2 linked regions of the Rattus norvegicus genome follow. The protein of the gene in region 2 interacts with the protein of the main gene of each other region in a pairwise test. Links are inferred from orthologs where the notes say so. Each region holds a gene or a part of one and is shown on either strand. Other genes may lie near its edges.

Region 1 (4,537 bases), on a different chromosome or scaffold from region 2:
CCCTTCCTTTGGAACTGTTATCCTTTCAAATGTCACTAACAATGGCAAGTCAATATTTTCTGTGACTCTCCAAAATAAACTTGATTTGGGCCGTGGGCAGATTGTGGGGTGCACACCATTAATCCCAACACTTCCGGGGCAGAAGCAGGCAGATCTCTGTGCGTTTGAAGCCATCTTGTTCTACATAGAGAGCTCCAGGACAGCCAGGACTACACAGCGACTCTGTTCTCAAAGCAACAGCAGATTTATTTTTATTTTATGTGTATGAGTGCTTTGCCATCCCGTATGTCTGTGAACTTTGTAAATGCAATACCAGAAGAGGCCAGAAGAGGGTGGTGGATCCCCTGGAACAATAGCTACAGAGGGTTGTGAGCCATCATTGGGAACTGGGAACCCAGCCCAGATTCTCTGCAAGAGCAAACAAGGACCCTTAATGGCTAAGCCATCTCTCAAGGCCCTGAACTGATTATTTTATTTTATTTTATTTATTTTTGGAGACAGAGTCTCTCTTTGTACCCTGGATGCCTCGGAACTTGAGTAGACCAGGCTAGCCTCTTGATCGCTGAGAGTAAAGGTGTGCCACGATACGCAGCTTGAATTTGATCTTTAAACATGACTGGAGTTAATTATTTGAACAAGTTCTGGAACTAAAATGTAAGTCAGATTGGACAATATCACATGGGACCATTTCACAATGAGGCTGGCTGTCATAGCTCTTGAATAAACACCGACAGTAGTTCCCATGCAGGAATTCAAACTTGACTAATAATATAAACTCCGAGGATGCCCTCCCGCAGTGTTGCCTCTCTACCGAGAGACCACTCATGCCACCCCAAGTCTCCACTCACAGAGTGCAGGTTAGAGAGAGAGGCCGACTTCCGAGGAGGAGTCTTCTTCGGGCTGAATATGCTCCCAAAGAGAGGCATCCCTGACTCAATGAGGAGACACTGGCACTTCTTTCTCCTAAAGTCAGAAAAAAAAAAAGGGACCTCACTTCATTGTTCTCTTACCATGAGAACATCTTACCCCTTGAGGATTACCAATCCTGGCAATACCTTCTGGGAACAGTCATCCCTTTAGACAGAACAGTAAAAGAAGACTTGAAGTCGGGGCTGGGGATTTGGCTCAGTGGTAGAACGCTTGCCTAGCAAGCACAAGGCCCTGGGTTTGGTCCCCAGCTCCGGAAAAAAAAAAAAAAGAAGACTTGAAGTCCTAACAGGTAGGAGCACCCATGTGCTGGGTGCTTCCTGTGTACCAGGAAGTGTGTGCTAAGGTCTTTGCATAATCTCATTTAACTCAACTACTCCTCGACGCGCCCCTCCTATTCACCCCATTTGATTGGTGACATTTGGACAGCCAAGGTCTTCAGTGGGAACAGGCATTGGAACCAAAGTTCGAGTGGCTTCACAGTGATGCTAACCTCAGGCAACTCTGTCACCCGTTGGCATCGTGTGGCGCACGGGAGGATATTTCTACTATTCCTGTCAGACAGTAAGAGCAGCACCAGGAACGCTAACTTCTGCATAGACGTCATTCTAAAGCCATGAAGCGATACTCGGATTTCACTCCCGGATCGAGAGTGGTACTTATAACTCAGTCCGTGTGTCAAGTCACCTGACTTGGTGAGGTCTTAAGGAGAGAGCCAGCCCAGGATGGCGCTGACAATGACACTCAGCACACTAGTTTTAATCACAGCACAAAACCCCCCTCATAAAATCCGTAACATCACGTAGGCTCGGGAAAGAGGCCAGCTTTTAAGTAAAACAAGTAAAGAGAAGTCATAAAACCACAAGGCTTCATGGCAGGTTTTGTTTTTTCAACGTGTGTGCTTCTGTGCTGTATGCGTGCATATGTGCGGGGGTATGCGTGTGCTTTATGAATACGTATGTGTGTAAGATGCAGGGTCTGGACGGGGACATCGGGTGTCCTCTTGGATTCCCTTTGGACGGGGTATCTCACTGAACCTGGAGCTACACTGGTGACCAGCAAGTACCAGCAGACCTGTCTCTGCCGCCAGCAGTCCTAGAATTGCACGTGTCAGAGTCCTTAGCAAGCTTTTGACCGAGACGTTGGGGGACTTGAATCCAGGTCCTCATGCTTGAGCAGTAAGTACCCACATTCACTGAGCCTTTCCCCCAGGCCCCCTCACAGACTCTTTAAACACACACACACCCTTCAAGGCACAGGACATATTAGTGCCCAGAAAGATGCTCCCATATCAGCAGCTGCAAGACCTCTGGATGGCTGGATAGGCGATTCTGCTGAGATCCTAGGATTCTTTAGTGAAGCTCTCTCATAGAGGACCCAGGGCCAAGAAAGTTAAGGGCTTGTACCTGGTTTCCAACCAACACTGTTGCTCACCCTCCGAGCGTCGTGCCTTGTGTCTGCGGATTCCTGGAACTAGAATTACTGGCGTTTGTGAGTTGGGGATCGAATTCGGATTCTCTGCAACAACAACCGGTTCTCTGTGTCTCAGAGCCATCCCTCCATCCCTTGAGTCCCTTATAATCACAAAGAACAGCACCAAGCTCGCAGGTTAAGAGTGCTTTCATGTTTACAAATTACTGGGACATCAGATGCTCAGCACGACCCTGGGAAGTAGATCGACTTGTCTCCCTTTTCAGGAAACTGCACTTATTGTGCGAAGCTTTAGTTTGCATCGGGCTATAAAACACATTATCTTCCTTCTGACAAAAAAAATTAAAGGAAGCATCTTTGGTTTTCACTGGATTCTCAAAGGGAACGTGTCTCGAAAAAGTTAAGAGCCAGCCAGTCTCGCGTCTGCAGGCTCACGGGCCACAGCACCTAAGAGTTCAGTACCGGTTAGAAGACCTTCAAAGGATGGGTCAAAACACCATCTCCGAGTCACCGTCGCAAGATGCACCAGGGGAGCACGCCACCACCGGGCCTGCCCGCTATCCTCTCCAGGGGTACCCAGGCATCCCACCCACCACGACTGATACGGGTATCCGCACGCTGCTCCCAGATGTACCTGTGTGCAAAGCCAGAGTCCAGAGCTAGCCCTCAGGGTTCTGCAAGGATCCGCCCAGGCCGCGTCAACTGCCGCGACCGCGATTGGCTGGCACCCGGCTCCCCATCGTGCGCACGCGCGGCTTCTCTGGTTTCTACCACTGAGGACAGAGGGAAAACCACCTCCGAGACGAGCCTCCGAGAAGCAGCGAGGTCCCCTGAGTCTCCCTCGGGTTCATGAATAGAGGAAAGCCTCGAGCACGTCTTCTGGAGATACACACAAAGCCTTGTGGCATAGGCCGGGAGAGGCGTGCCCCCTAAACGTGTTGGTCTGGTCCCCGGGTCGCCGCTGTCGCCATAGTAACCGTGTACACTGGCAACAAGGCAGGCTGAGAGCTGCTTTGTTGTGTTAAAGGAGTACGTGGTAACCCTGGCTGGACTCATAGTAGCAAAATGGCCCGACCTGCGACTCCCCCGCCCCGGCCACAAAGCAAACCGCGCCCCTTCCCGGCGGTTTGGGGTCGCGGATGCCGGCGGCCATCCGGAGCTTGGTCGGGTCGCCCGAGGGGCGGGTGGCGGAACTCGCCCTGAGGCTTTGGGATTCTGCCGAAGCTTTCAGGTAAGACAAGCACGACGACTCCCTGCCAATAGCAAACTGGCTCCTGCCAGGCCTGCCTCCTCCACACTCCCACAAGCAAGGGAAACTGAGGTTCAGGGAAGGTCGCCTAGTGAACAAGGGGCAGAGAAACTGGAGAGTCAGTTCTAAGGGCCGGTATTGTAGCTCAGTTCGGTAAATGAAGAAATGGGCCATTCAGAAGGCGTTTCCTATCTGCCTAGTGGGTGCACGAGGTCATCCCAGCCATAAATGACAGGGATGAGCGTTCTATGCCTCCAAACAGTTTTCCTCCACCTTCGTCACACAGCATTCGAAGAGAGAATTCCACATCAAAACCCACCATATCTGGTGTAGCAATCACTACAGAAACACAAAGCAGAGCACGTTTGTAAATTGCGATCATTCTAGCAGTTTTTGGATGTTGAATGCAGAGCCTTGTGCACGCTGATTCCGGTGATATCCTTGAAGCACCTTTCATATTTTGAGATAAGGTCTCACTGGATACTCCTATCTCATCCTCCTGCCTCAGCCTCTCAGTGCTGGAATTACAGACACACACCCAGCCTGGCTTCAGACCCCTACTCTTTTGTTTTGCTTCATTTGTTTGAGATTTGAGACTGGGGCTCACCATGTAGTTCTGGCTGGTCTCCAACTTAAAAAGACCCTCCTGCCTCTGTCTCCAGAGAGCTCAGATTAAAGGCTAGGGCTACCATACCCAGCCCTGTGCTTTTAAAGGTCAATTCAAAACAGATAAAATTAACTTGAGTATTATTGCATTTAACTGGGTTTGTCCAAAACATGATTAAACAAATATCTTAAATTTTACCACATGTTTGTTTTTAATTTTAAAAGAAATTTTACCTTCTTCAGTCACGCTAGCCAAACTTAAGGACTTTGTTTCCCTGTGTGACTAGTGGCAATGGGCCTGGGCAGCGTCCAAGGAGCGCCTTT
Region 2 (4,457 bases):
AAAAAGAATAATTGTATGTTATTTTCTATTTGTTATGAAAAAGACAAAACCTCATACCTTGTCATAATACCAAGTAGATAAAAAAATGGACTGACTTACTCGTTTCATCTTTACAATGGTCCCATAAGCTTTCAAAGGTTCAACTACTTTGGCTTCAAGTCTTTCAACCTATTGAAAATTATATAAAATATAACTGAAAAGAAACATAGAAATATCAAAATTTAAATCCTGAAATAAAGATCTACGTTGTTTAATCTGAAATAAATAATGCACAGGCTAATAAGTCTCGAAATTTTAAGTTACAGCTTTCAGAGGTTTAAGGCATCCATAGTTTCAGTACGGTTACCATTTTTATGTGTTCAAACGTATACTGTCAGATATTACAGACATCACGGATACTGACTCCTAATTCAGATAGCTCAACTGTCCAGAAAAATCAAAGGTGAAACATACAGCGAGGAACATTTAGAGGAACAAACCCTCAAAAGCAAACAGCTTCGGGATGATATATCAAATCCCAGAGAACAAGATCAGTGGGCTTAGTGTTGCCCATCTGCCAAACTCTACAGCTGATCTCTTTTCATCAAGAATTAAAGTTTCTCAAACTCATTTAAATTTTCATCACAAAGTAATAGCAATTCTTTTAATAACATTAGTAAAAGGAACTGAAGAAAAAATTTATACAAATACATATACAAGAAAACGATGGGGCACTGAAACTTTGTCAGGGTGAGCAAGGAAATGACATCTATTCCTAAAACAAACATTTTACAGCAAATAAAATCCTTTTGAAAAAATGACACGTTTACCTAATCAATCCATTTTATTTCATGTCAATTCTTTAGTTTCTAGAGATGATGTTATGTGGATGTTTCATTTTGAAAGAGTTTAGGAAAATGTAAAAAATAATGACTTAACTATTCAGAATTCTGAGATAAGTGTTATGAATATTCAGGACAGCGTAATGCACAGCAGCTCAGACTCCACACTGTGAGGTTTATCCACGCCTGCTCTAACAGTTTCCCCTGTCTCTCCCTTGCCTACCTTTGCCATGTTCATTAGCATCTCCACCATTTGGTAAGCAGGGAAACAGAGCAGAGCAAATGCAAATCAGTCCACTTTGCTATTTGATAACTAGCATAAAAAATTTCTAGAAAGGGGAAATTACTGGTAAAAATAGAACTTTAGGGTTATCTGTGAGTAAAAACTATTTCTGAAACATTCAGTCTCCAGTTACCATGTATAACTGAGTATTGCTTGTTATAGAAGAAGTGTATGCCAGGAACTCAAGATTTTTCTTACAGGTATCCCTGAGTGATTAGTACTCAAGTTTTGTATGCATAATGATGACAAGTTCATATTATTTCTCTCGTTTTAATTTTCAGTAAAATTGTTTTAGGCTTTAGACATGAGAAAGATCAATGGGACTTGTTACAAAAGTTAAAAAAGCAATGGAGTTTGAACATGCCAACTTTTGTTAAGCTAGCTGGCATCTAAAAGAAGTACGTGAAAGTGCTTATGCAGTATTAAGAAAATATTGGTTTTTAAAAAAGATCTCCCAAGATCAAGGCTCTGGTCACTCAAAGCAAACACACAGCTAATCTCTCGGCTGTACCACTTGGTTTGCTTCTTGCTCAACTTCCAAACCATGGTAATATCAGCAACATGTAGCCCATCCGTTAGTAATTTGTTATCATCTTGACATGTTCAGCATTTCCATCTCTAGTCATTCTTTAAAACGCACTTGGCCCACCCAAGCCGTAGAGATGCTTTCCTTCCCCACGAGTGCTTATGCCTGCTCCCTGTTATCCTGCTGGCAAATGTAGCTGTAAACTCAAGACTTCAAACACACCTGCCGTTTAGGTTGAAAGCTATCTGGTCATAGAAAGGTTCCGAATAGAGGACCCACGGTGTTACAAATAGTAAAGACATTTATCAAGGGAACTTTTACCACTGCTAGGTAGGTTACCACGGAACGTCCACAATGCCTACACACTACTTCTTGGGCCAATGACACCAGAACCTCACTTCATACCTCTGCCTGGCGGTAATCTTGAAGTTTGGCAAACTCATCGGCAAAGTCTTTCAGACCCTGCTTTAAATTTGGGGTCTCGGTAGAGGCATACAGGTTGATTTCATTCACCAGGAGGTCGGCTTTGTCTCGAAGCCTGGCAGTTTTCCGTACATAAGCAGCAAAGATTTGGCAAAGCTCTCCAAAATGCTTCTCCACATTTGTGACAGCATCCTGCAGTTGTTTTGTTTGAGCGTCTCTAGAAAAAGGAGACACAGAACACTGTTCTTAAAACAGTAAGATGGTGTCCCGGTTAATTTTATATGCAAACATTCCCGGGATATCCTGAAGCCCTGAAGGGCAACATTCCCAACTCTCCCAAAGGTCCGCCCTTCTCTAGGACCTCATGCAGGTCTAGCCTAGGACCTTGCAGGCCTGGGGAAGGGCCCGGGCCCGGTGGACCGTGAAGGAGCGGCCTCCTGGGCTCTGTACCGCGGCGGGGCCGGGTCCAGCTCCTGAGGACCGGTCGGCCCGCAGACTCTCTCGGCCGCGGAGCGCCACGGGGACCGTGCGGCCTCCTCCAGCCCCTGCCGGCTTCCAGGCCCTAGGCCCCGCTTCTCTCGCCCACCCGGCCCTCTCCCTCCGCCGGCCTGCACGACGAGGCCTCGGGTGGTTACCGGTCATCCAGATTACGCCTCAACATCTTGCCTTTCGCGCCGCCGGGGACCCGGGATGGGAGCCCAACGAGCGCGGCTCCGGGCCGCCAGGGCGCGCGGGAGCAGGAGACGCCGCCACTTCCACCGGGAGCCGAGAGCGCGCCTGGCGCGCCGCCGCTCCTGTCCGGCGTTTCCGTGGCGACGCGGCGCGCGCCCCGGCGGTCAAGAGAAGGGCAAGGGAGACCAGAGGGCATTGGGCTGATGGAACATCAAGCATCCTCCTTCAGTGCAGCTCTCTAGCCCTTCGGGGCCGCTGGAAGCAAAGGAGGAAAAACAACCCACCAGCAACCGGAAGGGGAATGTGAAAATAAAGGTGAATGGGGTTCAGGCTCTGCTTCTGGATGTGCGGACTTAATGCCCTGCTTGTCCCCGCTTCTTTGTTAAATAATGTGTGGCTCGTGGAAGCTGCCTTTGGGAAAGAACCGCTCTACTCTATAAGTTAGATTTCTATTGCTGTGACAAAAATCAGGTTGGGAAGGAAAGGGTTTCTTTGGCTAACAAAGTCACAGTTCTTTGAGGATCTCAAGACAGGAACCTGGAGGCAGGAACTGAAGCAGAGGCCATGGAGCAACACAGCTTGCTGGCCTATTCAGTTGACTTTCTTCTATACCTCGGGACCACTTGCACAGGGCCGATACTGTCTACAGTATTTCCTGGCCCTTCCACATCAATCATCAATCTAGAAAACAGCCTACCGATCAATCTGACAGGGACATTTTCTGAATCTAAGTTCCCTCTTTTCAAGTAACTCTAACTTTGGACAAATAAATCAAACAGAAACGAACAACAATAACGAAACCAAACAAAATAACATCAGCAACGAATCTAGGCAGCCCAACAGAGCCTACTGCTTCATCATTAAATTTCATCTCTTCCCCCTGCAGTTAACTGAGTTTCTACTTTGTGAAAAAGATTGTTAGACCCAACTGAAGCGTGGGCCTGAATGAAACCCCCCCCCCCAGTTAAAAGAGACACAGATAATCTGGAGCCTTCCTTTAACTTCTGAGGTGGAGGCTTCTCTTCTGAGTGAACTCATAGTCCAACTTCGAGCTTTGTCTGCTTCTCGAATGCCCATAGCCTCTGAGAATAGAGTCCTAACCTAAGGTCAGGACAGTTTTTGCTCTAGAAGAGCTCACAGCCTCGGTGGAGGGATAAAGCTAGCCAACAATCAAACACATATAATACAACCCAGAAATGTGCTACTGGGTCAAGTTTTGTTGTATAAACAAATTATAAGACCTGGTGGCTTCCAAAAATCCACTAGTCAGTTTGGGATTGTGCAGATGGCAGGGATAGTTCTTTGGTTCTGTTCTTTGGTCCAGAAGGTGACTTTGCTACCAGCTTCATCATCCCACTGAAAGCTATGATGTTGAGCAAATGAATCCTGCAACTGGGAGGTGGGCATCGGATGCCTAAACCCCGAATCTCACCTTGAGACCAGTAGGAGTAAGAATTGCTCCCTCCTTGTTCTGGACCTGCATGCCACCGTGGTGCGTGTGTCCTTGTGACCCCCACCTCTACCACAGTTGAGGTAGTCACTGAGCCTAGTGGCTGGATTACAGGTTTAAGCACCTGGGATTCCTATTCAAGCAAATGAAGCATTCCCAGTACCCCAGTACCAACCAATAAGGTACACTCACGCTGAAATAAATCCTACCCACCACCAAAGGTTTATATAGCCCTTAATACCCTTGAATAAAGAGAGCTGTGACTCTGGAAACCATCTTGGA

The links.
Region 1: the proteins of Cibar1 (region 2) and Cby1 interact in binary tests that used the Homo sapiens proteins (3 or more experiments, as listed by UniProt). The two-hybrid records come from large-scale screens. The link is inferred for Rattus norvegicus from reciprocal best matches to the Homo sapiens genes CIBAR1 and CBY1.

Annotation. Positions count from the first base shown.
Region 1 is NC_086025.1:113,095,811-113,100,347, reverse strand, and holds the start of Cby1 (protein chibby homolog 1), read right to left. Parts: upstream 3,037-4,537; 5' UTR 2,993-3,036; exon of another isoform or gene 2,821-2,992; intron 2,446-2,820; exon of another isoform or gene 2,173-2,445; intron 964-2,172; 5' UTR 927-963; coding exon 849-926; intron 1-848. UniProt on the Homo sapiens protein: Inhibits the Wnt/Wingless pathway by binding to CTNNB1/beta-catenin and inhibiting beta-catenin-mediated transcriptional activation through competition with TCF/LEF transcription factors.
Region 2 is NC_086023.1:30,426,774-30,431,230, forward strand, and holds the start of Cibar1 (CBY1-interacting BAR domain-containing protein 1), read right to left. Parts: upstream 2,985-4,457; 5' UTR 2,922-2,984; coding exon 2,689-2,921; exon of another isoform or gene 2,271-2,688; coding exon 2,036-2,270; exon of another isoform or gene 1,066-2,035; coding exon 1,045-1,065; coding exon of another isoform or gene 952-1,044; exon of another isoform or gene 169-951; coding exon 100-168; exon of another isoform or gene 1-99. UniProt on the Homo sapiens protein: Plays a critical role in regulating mitochondrial ultrastructure and function by maintaining the integrity of mitochondrial morphology, particularly the organization of cristae.